4 linked regions of the Canis lupus familiaris genome follow. The protein of the gene in region 2 purifies or fractionates together with the protein of the main gene of each other region. This does not show direct contact. Links are inferred from orthologs where the notes say so. Each region holds a gene or a part of one and is shown on either strand. Other genes may lie near its edges.

Evidence for each region.
Region 1: the proteins of PPP4R2 (region 2) and TIPRL purify together in Homo sapiens (affinity purification with mass spectrometry; 5 studies listed by BioGRID and IntAct, counting the BioPlex papers as one, with this or other methods). This does not show direct contact. The link is inferred for Canis lupus familiaris from reciprocal best matches to the Homo sapiens genes PPP4R2 and TIPRL.
Region 3: the proteins of PPP4R2 (region 2) and CCDC6 purify together in Homo sapiens (co-immunoprecipitation; 3 studies listed by BioGRID and IntAct, counting the BioPlex papers as one, with this or other methods). This does not show direct contact. The link is inferred for Canis lupus familiaris from reciprocal best matches to the Homo sapiens genes PPP4R2 and CCDC6.
Region 4: the proteins of PPP4R2 (region 2) and DHX38 purify together in Homo sapiens (affinity purification with mass spectrometry; 3 studies listed by BioGRID and IntAct, counting the BioPlex papers as one, with this or other methods). This does not show direct contact. The link is inferred for Canis lupus familiaris from reciprocal best matches to the Homo sapiens genes PPP4R2 and DHX38.

What each region holds. Positions count from the first base shown.
Region 1 is NC_049228.1:30,246,741-30,250,240, forward strand, and holds part of TIPRL (TIP41-like protein), read right to left. Parts: intron 2,970-3,500; coding exon 2,870-2,969; intron 1-2,869. UniProt on the Homo sapiens protein: May be a allosteric regulator of serine/threonine-protein phosphatase 2A (PP2A). Isoform 1 inhibits catalytic activity of the PP2A(D) core complex in vitro. The PP2A(C):TIPRL complex does not show phosphatase activity.
Region 2 is NC_049241.1:19,298,848-19,302,996, forward strand, and holds the start of PPP4R2 (serine/threonine-protein phosphatase 4 regulatory subunit 2), read right to left. Parts: upstream 2,801-4,149; 5' UTR 2,685-2,800; coding exon 2,645-2,684; intron 2,245-2,644; coding exon 2,163-2,244; intron 1-2,162. UniProt on the Homo sapiens protein: Regulatory subunit of serine/threonine-protein phosphatase 4 (PP4). May regulate the activity of PPP4C at centrosomal microtubule organizing centers.
Region 3 is NC_049225.1:12,639,199-12,642,698, forward strand, and holds the end of CCDC6 (coiled-coil domain-containing protein 6), read right to left. Parts: intron 1,720-3,500; coding exon 1,595-1,719; intron 576-1,594; exon of another isoform or gene 553-575; coding exon 358-552; downstream 1-357.
Region 4 is NC_049226.1:78,405,935-78,409,434, reverse strand, and holds part of DHX38 (pre-mRNA-splicing factor ATP-dependent RNA helicase PRP16), read right to left. Parts: intron 3,469-3,500; coding exon 3,260-3,468; intron 3,143-3,259; coding exon 2,988-3,142; intron 2,553-2,987; coding exon 2,397-2,552; intron 2,299-2,396; coding exon 2,164-2,298; intron 2,002-2,163; coding exon 1,876-2,001; intron 1,367-1,875; coding exon 1,271-1,366; intron 1-1,270. UniProt on the Homo sapiens protein: Probable ATP-binding RNA helicase. Involved in pre-mRNA splicing as component of the spliceosome.

The DNA.
Region 1 (3,500 bases), on a different chromosome or scaffold from region 2:
ACTGACTTTCTTCTCTTACACTATGCTACAACTCACAGAGTAATCGGCAAAACAACCCAAGAAGGGTGAGAAATGCTACACACACACACACACACACACACACACACACACACACCAGCAGCCTCCAGCAATTAAAAGGCAAGAATTTAAGGCCAAAAGGAAAGGCTTCATTCTAATGTCTCATTCTGTGACATTCTTATTATTCATATAAAATATATTCTCTTCCATGGGCATATATTTTCTATACATAACAGGACTTTTGTTTTCAGAAAAGGTGAAGAATTAAATAATTTAAAATCCCAAGTAATGATATAGGTTAAAAAATCCTTACATATCGAGAAAGTCAAAAGCAGAAAATGTTCCTATAGGATGATCTTCCCCATACAACAAACATGCTTAACAATAAGCTACCACATTGGTATTATGTTGTTAAGAGATACATACTTTAAGATCTTGAACCCATTTCTTCATCCGCAAAATGAGGATAAGAATGCCTATGATATAAGGTTATTTTGAGGATTAAGCAACAAAGTTCTAACAGTTTTGCCTAGAAAACAGTTACTTGATTTTTTAGGGCAATAAACGAACATAACCATCAACTTGTTTAGATCATAAAGCAAATATAAATATTTAAACAATATATCTAGGGGCAGCCCGGGTGGCTCAGCGGTTAGTTCCACCTTCAGCCCAGGGCATGATCCTGGGGACCCAGGATCGAGTCCCGCATCGGGCTCCTTCCATGGAGCCTGCTTCTCCCTCTGCCTATGTCTCTGCCTCTCTCTCTCTCTCTGTGTCTCTCATGAATAAATAGATAAATAATCTTTAAAAAAATAAAAATAAAAATAAACAATATATCTAGTCTTGGTATTTCAATAATACCTAATATATATCTTTTGATAGTATCTTGGCATATATCTAGTCTAATATTTTGGTCTTGGTATTTCAATATTAACTTAGTTCCCTTGACATTTGAGATATAATATTATCATAATAATAATAGCAGCTACCATTTATGGACTCTTGCTATGTAACAGACACTGTGCTAAACACTTTACATAATCATTTCCTTACAACTGTTATTATCCAGTTTACCAAAGTGATAAATAATGTTTAGCAAGATTAAACTGCTTTTCCGGGCAGCCCCGGAGGCTCGGCGGTTTAGCGCCACCTTCAGCCCAGGGCCTGATCCTGGAGACCTGGGATCGAGTCTCGCTCGCGTCGGGCTCCCTGCGTGGAGCCTGCTTCTCCCTCTGCCTGTGTCTCTGCCTCTCTCTCAATCTCTGTCTCTCATAAATAAATAAATAAAATCTTTAAAAAATAATAATAAAATAAAAAATAAATAAACTGCTTTTCCAAGTTAAGTAATGGTTCTGGGATTTGAACCCAGGCCTGCCAAAGCCTGAGCTCATTACTACCAGTGAGGGGGTGTTCACACTGACATTTGTCAACAATACCTCAAAACAAATTACATCTCAGGTGAATGTGTCAGTAAGAGTACTGAACACACGTGCTTTTCACCTCCAACTCTCATCCTCCCTGTTTCTACTGCTGTGCTTCTTGCTCCTCCAACACAGCTAATGCTACTTCATAACCCACAGGAGGCCTTTTGTAAGTCATCACTCCTACAAAGGAATAAAACAAGTTCCCATTTCCTTATTCCTGGCAATGAAAGATCAGATGGACTATGTTCTTTACAAAGTTTCTCAATCAGAAGAAAGAACATTACTCTGGGAAGTATTAGGGACTGAAATAACCTTGCTCCCCATTAGACCATAAAGGAGGGATTTCTGTTCTTTGCTGTATCCACAGCTCCTAGAATTAGTGCATAGCTCAGAGGAAGAGCTCAAGAATGAGTGAATGAATGAATAAATGCATACATGTTCTCTCTAAAAATGTATATTGTCTTGGAAGCAGCAGAGAAAAACAGTTAAACCCTGGATTACATGAGAGGCAGAAACTAAAGAGAACAGAGTTCCTTCCATGAACTTCTGTCTTTCCAAGACTCTAAAGATCTCTGCAGAGACAAGGAGCCCATACATAGCTCTATCTCCTTAACATTTCTGTCTAAGAGCCAACATATGATATAGGGTCTCTAATAATTACTTTATTTACACTAAAATGATTTTGTTCTCTGTAATTGAATGTGATCATTAGAGAATGCAACCTAAGCCAAATTTTCTTCATTTCAATCAAACTGTAGGATTTCAAAATGCAGCTAAGTTCCTAATATGAGACATACCAATTCCACTTTCCCAGCGTCATTCACCATAAAGTCAATCTCTTCTTAAGCACAGTTTACACAGATGCATGATTAATGTAGAGCTTTAGAATTTATCGAGAGCTTTCCCACAAATTAGCTCATATCAAAACTCTATTGGGAGGTCATTGTTTCTGTTTACCCAATTTACTAAGAAAGTTGAGACTCAGAGTAAGTAGCTTCCTAGAGTCATACCAGGCCCCAGACAGTGCAAGCAGGACAAAGACCCAAGCTGTCTGACCAGAAGTCCTATCTGCCCACCTTCCTGTTCATCTGTACAATTGTAAGCTGCTAACCAGCAGGTTCTAAGTCGCCTAATTCATTATACCAAGGGCAGATACATATTTTAATGCTTCTTGAAAAATAATGGTAACATCAAGGCAGTTTGCTATTGCTACTAAACATACTTTGAGAATAAAAACTATTCCACTATGGCCTTCTTATCTTTTGCTTATAATCAAAAAGCAAAATCCCTTCACATTAGGTTCTAAAGCTTTCCTCAATAGAAAGTGGGATGAAAGTAGCAGCAAAAATAACCATTAAAAAGTTCTAATGCTGAGACTGCCCAAGACAATTATTGACTTTATCATAAAAGCAAAAAATAAGATTTACCTTTAACTTAAGTGATTCTCCAAGTAATGTCCCCTTATAATCTGTTGTATAGGTCCAATCGTATGGTTTAATAACTTCCTTGGAGTGTTCACCCTCCGTCCTCAAATATCAAAATGAGAAGGATTATAATCAGTGATGCAGAATATAGACCATCTGTATTCATATAACACACCAAATTACACTCTACGAATAATATAAATATCCTAATATATATATTTGCCAAAATTCACTAATACAAGATCTTTCTTGTTTTTCCTGCATATTTTTTTTCCTGCATATTTGTTGTTAAACTTGTCATAGCTGATAAAGTCTCTCCCATTAGTCTGTATACTGCCTAAGGGCATGGTTTAAAAGTTGATTCCTCCAAGGTACCTAGTACATAATAGATAATAATTGCTAATTTGATTATCAAAGAAAATACATTTTTCTCTATTTCAAAGTTCCTCACATTTACAATGCAAATCACAAGTAAACATTTTTCTCAAAAACAGGAACATTAAAGTACACAGTGTACCCCCTCTTCACTAAAGAACACTGAAAGCTCAAAAAATGTAAACCTTACATAGCTCAGCTCAACTGTAATTCAATTAACTCAACAAGTATTCAATAGGTGGAGTAACTAATCTCCATT
Region 2 (4,149 bases):
AATCAGAGGGCATGCTAGGGGTTCCCGGATGGCTCAGTCAGTTAAGAGTCTGCCTTCACTTAAGTCATGATCACAGGGTTCTGGGATGGAGTTCCGCCCACTGGGCTCTCTGCTCTGAGGGAAGTCTGCTGCTCCCCCTGCTTGTGCTGTCAAATAAATAAATTAAAAAAAAAAAAAAAAAGCACGTTCATGTTGATTAAAAACAAAGATTAAAATTAAATGTGTGAACACCAGCTGCTTTATGACAAATTTAAAAATACTTTCCAAATATGAAGAATCTAATATCACCATTTTAATACAAAATGCTATTAGTAAATGTAAAAAAATGGGAGGAGTTTAAAGGGGGTGGCGGAACTTAAGACCCCTATCAAGGGATCCCTGGGTGGCGCAGCGGTTTGGCGCCTGCCTTTGGCCCAGGGCGCAATCCTGGAGACCCGGGATCGAATCCCACATCGGGCTCCCGGTGCATGGAGCCTGCTTCTCTCTCGGCCTGTGTCTCTGCCTCTCTCTCTCTCTCTCTCTCTGTGACTATCATAAATAAATAAAAATTGAAAAAAAATACTTAAAAAAAAAAAAAAAAGACCCCTATCAAGACAAAATAATTACCCCCAAAAACCAGGTTAAACTTTCCTAGCCACATGGTGATCCAGTCTGACAGGGTAAGAAGTTTTCTTTCAGAAGTTTTCAACTATTTACAGTCAACATAGGTTTATCAAAAGACAGTTTATATACAAACCTGATAAGGAGAAGAGGTTTTAAGTATCTATCTCCAAATAGTTTGATATAATCTTTTGTATCAAAACTCTGAAAGTAAAAAGCTTCTCCTCTTGGTATCTTGGTATTGTAGGGGGTTAAGTTTGGACCAGCTAACAACCGGAAAGAAATAATGGCAATCTAAAAATTTATGATTTAGGGATTATTTCTGAAAGCTGGCAACTAGTCATTTTACGCTTATCTACATAAATACCAGTTAATTATGTTGCATCAATTTTTAAAATCAAGATGTTCTAAGAGACTGTAATTCAGAGGCAATAGGACTTCTTCCCTAAAGAGTTCCTCTTTTTAAGTGGAATAAATAAAAATATAAGATTGAACGCATCAAGACACATTCTTAAGTTGACTGGTAATTTTAATAAAGCAGCTTATCTACATGACTACTAAATCAGAGGGTCTTTTTCCTTTCTATAATTGGGCTAGTTATTAAAAGGCTACATATACTACAACCACAAGCAAATCTTGTCAGAAATGAACATCTACTAATAAAGCCAAAGAAAGTATACATCACTTGCTGAAGCTTACACTCACTGAAGAACTCAAAAAGAATATTAAAAATAGACAAGACCCAGGGGAGCCAAAAGAAAGCTCATTTAGTAACACTGCACCCAGAGAAACCTTTATCCTTTCTTGCTCCCACCCCCCTACAAAGAGTACAAGGAAGTCACCAAATATGCACTGCTTTCTACAAATTGACTTAGTGATGGCAAAAACAACTCCTGCCACACAAACTACACACACAATGAACTGGAATGGTCCTTATGAAAACAATCCTAACTTCATAGTGTAAGTTTCAGATTCACAACATTTGGAAACAAGCCTAATAAAATGCTGAGCATATGTAACAAGTTAGCTATCCTAGAAAGTTTACAGGACAGTCAAAACTGTAGCATCTGGAATTTGTCAGATAATCACCCTAAATCCTCAAGAGAATAAATAGAAGTGACACTTCAAACACCCACATACATAAATATGACAACAAAAGGTTGGATACAGGACAATATGAGAAAATACCACCAACAAAAAAAAAATTTTTGAGACAGAAATCAAAGCCACAAAATTCTGGAAATAAGCTTGTTAGGGCCAAAAAGGGTCCTAACAGGATAGGCATTCTTTTCTCTAGCTCTTCAAGACAAATTCTAAATCTACAAAAGCAGAGATGCAAAGAAAATGTTAACAAATTTTTAAAACCCATTGGAGTACGCGTAAAGGAAATACAGTATATGCGCTAAGTGGAGCTTGTACAGCTGTACATAGATTATTCACCTCTTCTGAAATTCAGCTCTTCCGCCGATATTTCTTCTGAAATATCCTTCCCCCCCCCCCCCCCCAACCAATTCTGAATGATAACCTAGGAGCGTAACAACCAAGGCATGTTTTCAACTCACATTGTCTCTCCAGTCTTGGCTACATGACAAAGAAACTGATCCAGGACAGGACAAACTTCCTTTTTTCCCCTCTTCTCAAAATCTAAATAAGAAAGAAAAATTGTCAGTCGGTATGTTCAAAGTCCATCAACCACTTCCAATACACTATACAAACAAACTTTTCTCCAAGTCCTTCCTGAAATATTAAGCAGCTATTTAAAAAAAAAAAAAAAAAAAAAGAGAGTCCAGCCTCTCTCAACCAAAATATTCACTTCTGATTCTCCCAAGTTCTACTCCCAACAATGGTCTCTCTCCACACTGTGAACAAGAATCCTCCTAAAGGGGGCACTCAGCTGCTCCATAAATCATCCTTGAGGCGCTGTTTCTCAAAGTGCGGTCCAGGGGAACACCAACAGAAGCCTCTGGGCCGCTGATTAAAATACAGATCTGAGGCCCCACGGAAAAAGCCCCGCAAACTGCTGATCGTCTTGGCCTGCAGCTACCTCGTGCAGCCGTTTTCCACAGGACTTCGCGTGTCGACATGCCTTGTGGTGAAAACGCTGGAAAAACCACACGCGACTCTAAGTTTGGGAACCACGGCGTTCCCAAGCCTGTTGCGTGGAAGGCGGGCGACCGAGAGCCGCCAAGGCGACCCCCTCGGAATTAGGGCGCGTGCAGGAAGGACTTCAGAAGCGCTGAAAAAAGACTTCCTGAGACACTTTAAAGTTGCTCGGCCGCCCTCTCCCTCGCACCCCACCCCCCTCACCCCAAACCTTCCACTTTTCCTCCCAACCCGACGCCCGGCGTGCGGGGGCCTGACGGAACACGGAGCCTGCCGGTAAGGGGGCTGCGGGCACACGGCGTCTCCCCGGAAGGGTGGGCGGGACGCTGGGGCCCCTGCCGGAGCCTCCCCGGCTCCCCTCCCCCAGCCCAGACGCCGGCGGCCGACACAAAGCCCAGAGCGGGGCGGGAGGGAGCTGCCCACAGGGCTCCCCGCCCCTGGGGAGGTGGGAGGGGGATGGGAACCGCGGAGGCGCCCCCGCCCCCGGCCGGGGCCTCGGGGCCCCCCGGCCCTGGAAGAGAGGACCGGGGGGCCGCGGAGGGTGCGGAGCAAGGGAGAGGGGGCAGCTACCCCCACCTTTCAGCGCCTCCTGCAGCCTCTCGACGTCCATGGCTTCCCGGAGTCCCTCGCAGCCTCCGCCTCCCTCCGCGGGTCTCCCGGGGACCGGAACGCCTCCCCCCACCCCCCCGACGCCCTCCCCCTCCCTCGCACACACTCCGGCACGCAGGCGACCGGGGGGGGCACCGAAGGGAGCCGGGGGAAGCGAGCGAGAGAGCGAGACCGAGCGAGCGAGCACCTCCCCGAGCCGCTACCACCAGCCCTCCAACATGGCGCCCGGCACGTCACGGCGCGCACGCTCCCCGCCGCCGTCCTCGCGCCCGCCGCGCGCCCCGGCCCGGAGCCCGAGAGCGCGTGCGCGGCCGAGGCAGCCCCGGAGCGCCCGCGGGCCCGCGCCGCCCCGCCCGCCCCCTGGGGGCGACCCCCGGCGAGCCCGGGCTGAGCTCGCGGCCCCGCGGGCGGGCGGGCGGGCGCGGGCCGGCTCCCTGAACGCGAGTCCCTGCCGGTTGCTATGGCGGCGTGATGCTGAGCAATTTGCGGAGCCTCTCTGAGCCTTACCTACTCTCCCTGTCCGTGCAATGAGTGTCGACCTCCGCGTGCAGGTGCTCGGAGATTTAGGTGACTGGGTGCACACAGCCGTCAGAAGGTGCGTTCAAACAGGACCCCCCCTCCGGGGGGCAGCCCGGGGGGCGCAGCGGTTGAGCGCCTGCCTTTGGCCCAGGGCGCGATCCTGGAGTCCCGGGATCGAGTCCCGCGTCGGGACTCCCTGCGTGGAGCCTGCTTCTCCCTCCTCCTGTGTCTCTGCCTCTCTCTCTGTCTATCATAAATAAATAAACAAATCTTAAAAGAAAAAAAAAAAAAAAAGACCTTCAGGGGGCAGCTCGGGTG
Region 3 (3,500 bases), on a different chromosome or scaffold from region 2:
TATCCCTTTTTATTTTACAAACCTAAAAGCCAGGAAAATGAAGCTCTGGGGCCAAGCAAAAATTGCACGCTGCTGCTGAATTACCAAATATCGAATAGCAAATGTTCCAGCCAGGGAATGGACGTACACGTAGATTCAAGTAGAACACTGATGGAAAAAAGTCGTCTGTGTAGTGTTGCAGACACACAACACTGGCTGCGTTTCTGACAAACACTTACAACACAATTAATAGTGAAGCCTAGATAACGTCAGTGCAAATAAGTCAGATCCAGAACTGCCAGGGAAGGAAGCCTTTGGCGTTGAGCAGGCGGCTCCACTGTCCGAGTCCCCACGTGAGCTGCAGACGAAGCACATGCATTAAGGCTGGGAGGGGGGGTGCGCCGGCTGCGGCGAGGGGGCGGGCGGCGCGCCGGCCGCGGGGGGGGCCGCAGGCTGCATGGGGGGCGGCGGCGGCGGCGGCGGCGGCTGCACGGGGCTCTGTGTGTTGGGAGACGGAGGCGGCGTGGGCCGTTTGAATTTGTCAGGACTGTTGCTTCTCCGCGGTGAAGGCCTCTGCAGAGGGGACAGAAGGGCAGGTCAGTCCGGGGCGGACCGCTCCTTTTTAACCGCCTGAACAGTGGGGGCTGGTGAAGGGGGATGGGGGGCCACAGAGCCCAGAGGCTAGCGAGTTCCTGGCCTGCCCCTCCCGCTCCCTCAAGTGGGGACGTAAACACCTTGGGGTCTGCACCGACACCCGTGAAAAAGCCACACGAAGTGACTATGAAACTTGCACTGACCAAATTACTGGACTCGGGCCCTTCCACGGGACAGTCCTAGAATCAAAAACAGCGCCACATCCCCCAACTGGATCTCCTCTGTCCCTTGTATGTCACCGAGTTGCTTCCATTGCCCTACTCAGTTATCAATATCCCAAAAGCTGCAGCTCAACCAGATGTTTCCCAACAAACCAATAAAAACAGCTTCAGAAATACCTTACTGCTTTTGTAGGCTAAGAGTCTTCTTTTGAAGGTTTCCTTATTGGAACCAGTACCCTCCCTTCTTCACTATTCTCAAACTCCTGTGTGCTACGTTTTCAACTGTTCTATTAGTTCAACTTAATAAGCAGCTCTCAAGGAAAAACTCCCGAGTGAAGTCTGAACAAAAAGCATTTAAGACTCCTTCTGATTCCAGGAGAGAAAATTCTGAGTGAAACCAGAAATAAGGCTAATTTCAAGAAGAATACTGAAGATCAGTGAACTGTGAAGATGCCAACAATAAATATTTTAGACATTGTGGCAACCAGCAATGACTCGTTATAGCAAAGAGCTGGCCAGAGTTTAATTACGGCCTTGGCCAGAGTTCAAATTACATTTCACAAAGGATAATTTTTCACAGAAAGTGAAGCTGAAGTTTTGTCTCCTGGGAAGGATTTTAGTTTCAACACCAGAATTTGGTATCAAACTGCTGGGAAGTCTCTATAGATTGAAGGTGAACTGATGGTGGGAGGGAGAAAAAAAGTAAATGTCTAACAGCATCACCCCTGTTCTCCCCTAAAAAGAAGCCGTTGCTACCACCATCAGGAGTCAGTGTGGCTTCCTCCCCTGTGGATACTTACTGTGATACCATGGGAGGCTCCCATATGCTGCACATGAAGACCCGGGGAATTGTAGTAAGACATTCCGGCTCTTGTCAGTGAAGTCGGTGGCGTGAAGCCAACTGTGTGACTTGCATATGATAGACCTGAAATATAACAACAAGTATTATTTCAGATTCCATTATCTAGTGTCTTCAACCACCGAGAAGAATTTAAAATGCAAAAGTTTTCAGTCACCAAAAAAAATGAACACACATGAAAAGTGTGGTGGGCTCATCAAATCCTGCTGGGTAAAAGGGGATATAAAAGTCAAGTCCTAGAATAGAACAGAGAGCCCAGAAATAGGTCCACACATAAACAATCGAAAGGTGCCAAGAATACATAATGGGGAAAGGGTAGCCTCTTCAATAAATGGTACTGAGAAAACTGGATATCCACATGCAAAGGAATGCAACTGGACCCTTACCTTATACCATTCACAAAAATCAATTCAAAATGATTGGAATAAAGGACTCAGACATAAGACCTACAACTATAAACTCCTAGAAGAAAACACAGAGGGAAGGTTTCATGATATTGATCTTAGCAATAAGATGTCTCAGATGTGACACCAAAAGCACAACCACAAAAGCAGAAAATAGACAAGTGGGACTATATCAAACTCAAAAGCTTCCACAGCAAAGGAAATAACAGAAAAGCAAACTATGGAATATGAGGAAATATTTAAAAACCATGTATCAGATAAGGGATTAGTATTCAAAATATATAAGGAACTCCTACAGTTCAATAACAAATAACCCAATTAAAAAATGGGCAAAGGACTTGAACAGACATCTCTCCAAAGACACAGAAATAGGCAACAGGCATATGAAAAGATGCTCAACATCATGCAACATTATCCACAAGAGTCAAGATGTATAAACCACCTACATCAAACTCAACATCCAAAAAACAAAAAAAATCCAATCAAGAAATGGGCAGAAGACATGAACGGACATTTCTCAAAAGAAGGCATACAAATGGCCAACAGATACATGAAAAAATGCTTCCATCACTGGGCATCAGGAAATACAAATCAAAACTACAATGAGATACCACCTTACATCAGTCAGAATGGCTAAAATTAACTCAGGAAACAACAGATGTTGGTGAGGATGGAGAGAAAGGGGAACCCTCTTACACTGTTGGCAGGAATTACAAACTGGTACAGCTACTCTGGAAAACAGTGTGGAGATTCCTCAAAAAAATAAAAATAGAGCTACCCTATGACCCAGCAATTGCACTAGCAGGTTATTTATCCAAGGGATACAAACATAGTGATCCAAAGGGGCAACTGCACCACAATATTTATAGCAGCAATGTCTATAATAGCCAAACTGTGGAAAGAGCCCAGATGCCCATGAACAGATAAGTGGAGAAAGAAGATATGGTATATCTATATACACAATGGAATACTACTCGGCCATCAAAAAGAATGAAATCTTGCCATTTGTAATAACATGGATGGAACTAGAGGGTATTATGCTAAGCAAAATAATTTCTCTGTCAGAGAAAGACAAATACCATATGATTTCACTCATGTGAAATTTAAGAAACAAAGCAGGTGAATATAGGGGAAGGGAAGGAAAAATAAAATAAGACAAAAACAGAAGGAGACAAACCATAAGAGACTCTTACTTAACTATGGGAAACTGGGGGTTGCTGGAGGGAAGAGGGGGGGGATTGGGTAACTGGTAACTGGATGGGCATTAAGAAGAGCACTTGAAGTAATAAGCACTGGGTGTTGCATGCAACTGATGAATCACTAAATTCTACCTCTGAAACTATGCACACAAACTCCACCTGAATGTCCATCAACAAAGTAGTAAAGAAAACATGGTATATACACACAAGGGAATATTATTCAGCCATTAAAAATTATTTTTAA
Region 4 (3,500 bases), on a different chromosome or scaffold from region 2:
CATTACCACCTAGCTGGGAGGAACAGGGAAGATGGGTGTGGGCCCAGTGTGGAAAGTATGGACAAGAGGAGAAGCAAAAGCCCAGCAACATTCTGCAACCCTAAATAGCTCTGGGCATCCACGGACAGTCAGACCGTGAGGAGATGGAGTAGCAGCTAGAGAACTCCTACTGGAGGGATCGCAGAATCTCAGAATCCTCCCAAGTGGGACCACCAGACCTGACATGCTTCCTAAGAGGATCTAAAAGGAAGTTCACAATACCACATGCATTTATGCATCTTTGCCCAAAACAGCTAAATCTGAATCCTATCAGGCGTTTAATTACTGGTTTAGAGAAATAGCACAGGGGAGAGGCACAAGTTAAAAACCATCATGAAAAAGCAACTGGTCAAATACAGAAGATGAAGCATTCTACAAGTGACCTGGTTTCTCCAATTAATCAATGCTGTTATAAAAAATGGAGGCAGGGCATGTTCTAGAATAAAACACTTACCGCCTATAACTAATTATAATGTTTAGATCCTAATCCAAGCAAATCATAAAAAATTATCTTTGGGATGAAAGAAGAAATATGAATAAGCACTAGAAACTCAGATAACATTAAGAATTAAATATGTTAAGTGATAATGGCATAACGGTTACATTTTAAAAACAAATTAAGTTCTCTTAGAGATGCTTACTCAAGTATTTATTGGTGAAATAACATGTCTGAAATATGCTTTAAAATCTTTCCAGGAAAAAAAATGAGTGTGTGGAGGGGTTGGAATAAGCCCAACAAGACTAACCAAATGTTGATTATTATGGAGATTAGGTGATGAATTCATGATGGCTTCCTGTACAGTTTTTTACACTTTTATGAATATTTGGACTTTTCAATGAGGCTTTTTTTTTTTTTTTTAAAGGCCTGTGTGGCTAGTTGGTTGAGCATCTGACTCTCGATTTCAGCTCATGATCTCAGGCTTGTGGGGTCAAGTCCCACACTGGGCTCCATGCTCAGTGTGAAGCCTGCTTGAAATTACTCTAATTATTTACTCTAAATAAGTAAATAAAATCTTTAGAAAAAAAAAAAAAACACGAACTCTCAGCAGGCCAAGCAATTGGAGTAGTTGGGAGAACTCTAACAGACCAATCTGGCTCGATCACAGCTTTTGTATTTGAGAGAGAAGTAAGGAGGGTAGGAGTCAGATGAGAACATGTCTTCAATACCAGGTTGAAGGGAAAATGGCTCCCACAGGAAGCAGAACCTTCATGGAAAGTGGAGGATCCTTACCTGGCGAGACTTTCCTGCCTGTTTTACACTGTAGAACATGGGGCCCAGCTCTGCTAGCCACTCTCCATCCACTGCGGTCACACACTGCATGTATTCCTGCAGGCAGAAGGGTCACAAAGTGGTGGTCACAGAGGGGCCATGCCTTGGGCCGTCCTTCCCATAGCAGTTCCACAATTAGGACCTATGTAAGAAGGATCTGACCCCCAGCCCTTTGAAAAAGGCAAACACAAGCCCCAGACACTGGAATTCTAATCCTTTCTCCCACTCAAATTCCTCCACACTTAAAAACATGCCCCTAGTATCCAAGAGAAAAGGCCTAGCCCCTCAGAAAGCCCTTCTAATGACACCAAGAGGGGTTGCTTATCCCAGGCAGGAAGTAGGAAACAATCCTGCTGGCACAGCCACGGCTACTATCATCTAAAGGTTAACTCTGTATAAGCTTCCCCCAAACCCAAATGAAAACCAATCTATCAATTCCCCTCAAAGCAACACATGCAGCCTCATCTCCCAAGCTTAAAACTCATACTGGAAGGCAACAAAGGGTTCCAAAGTCCTGGCCCAGCCAGGGACGCCTACATCACACAACTGTGTCAGAAAAGACTCACCTTGGTGGTCATGACCAGCTCATGATATACTATGTAGTCTGGGGTGTAGCCCATTCCAAAGAGTGAGCTGGTGGGGTGCAAGTGGCAGGGCATCCCTGTCCGGATATTCACATATTCCCCAATTCCCTAGGGAAGAGACAGAACAGGTAGCCACACCAAGAAAATGCTGCTCATCTGGGCAGCCACTCCCCTTGTTGACACAGACCTCGGTGGGGAACCCAGATCTGCAGGACTGTGCAATGAGAAAGAACCTTGTCCTCGTACAGTTATCAGGCTCCTCTGGCTCACCTTGAGCTTGGCTGCCTGGTGGAAATAGGCAGCACAGATACACTTCCTGACGATGTCCCAGTCCGTGCCGCACGAGGCCAGGCTCATCCGCTGCTGCACCATGATGTCCTTGAGCTGAGCTCGCACCTCCCGGACCTAGAGCAGGACACAGGGCAGAAAAGGATGGAGCCCTCCTCCTCCTCCCTACCACCCCCTCACCCCAATATCCTGCTTATCTGGGCTCTTGCCCCCACCTTCCGCATGGCCTTGGCATGGATGAAATGATCGTTACACCAGATGGTGGAGTAATTATTATTTTTCCACTGCAGGTAGACGTTCAGGTAGGTCAAATGATCACTCTCGGGGACAGCAAACTTCTCCCGGATTTGATCACTTTCCTCTTCTCGGCCCTGGGAAGGAAAAAGGACCTTTACTCTCTGCACAGGGAGTCCAGGCCCACCGAGAAGACCCTGGAGGCTCTCCCACTGTCAGCTATCTGCACATACGACTTCAAACATGTTGATATGTGGCCCTGACAATACAGGGAAAATAATACAGCCTATAATGAAGTATTTACTCTAAAACAGGAGAGCTCAGGCACAACATACTAGAAGATAAAAAAAGATAAAATTTTCCAATCGGTCTCTGAGAACCACTGATCTAGCCCATGCTTTCCCTTACCCCAACCTGCTCAACAGAAATCAGCATTATTCTCTGGAAACATGGACTCTTGTCCCTCTATCCTATTTTAAAGAAAGGTACTAGTCCCCTCTAATCCTGCCTCAGGCCCATAAACTGCCCTGTGGCTTCTGGGAAGATAGAAGCACAGGACACCCCGTCCCCACCTTGGGCCTGTAGAAGATGGCTGGCACGGACAGCATGGAAACAATGAGCAGGATCTCAGAGCTGCAGCCCATGTCACAGGACACGATAAGCATCTTGGACAGGGCTGGGTCCAGTGGGAACTCCACCATCAGCCGCCCAGTCGAGGTCAGACCACCTGGGAGAGGAGCCAGTTGAAATGCTGAGTGGACACAGTGAAGTCAAGAAAAAGAAAACCCCATCACCAGAGGCCCAGAGGCCCTGAGGCCCTGCCCGGCTCCCAGGGCCTCAGCACCTGTGTTGTCCAGGGCCCCGAGGATCCAGAGCTGATACATGGAGTTGAGCATGTTATCCTCAGGGGGCGGGTCCATGAAGTGGAACTGCAGCAGGTCCTGCACGCCCAGGGACTTGAGCAGCAGCACCACATTGGCCAGGTTGGTTCTCTGGATCTCAGGCACTGTGGTAGTCAGGAGCTCGTTCTTGTAGGCACTCTGGGTGTAGAGCCTGCCAGGAAGAAGAACCCTGAATTTCCACCT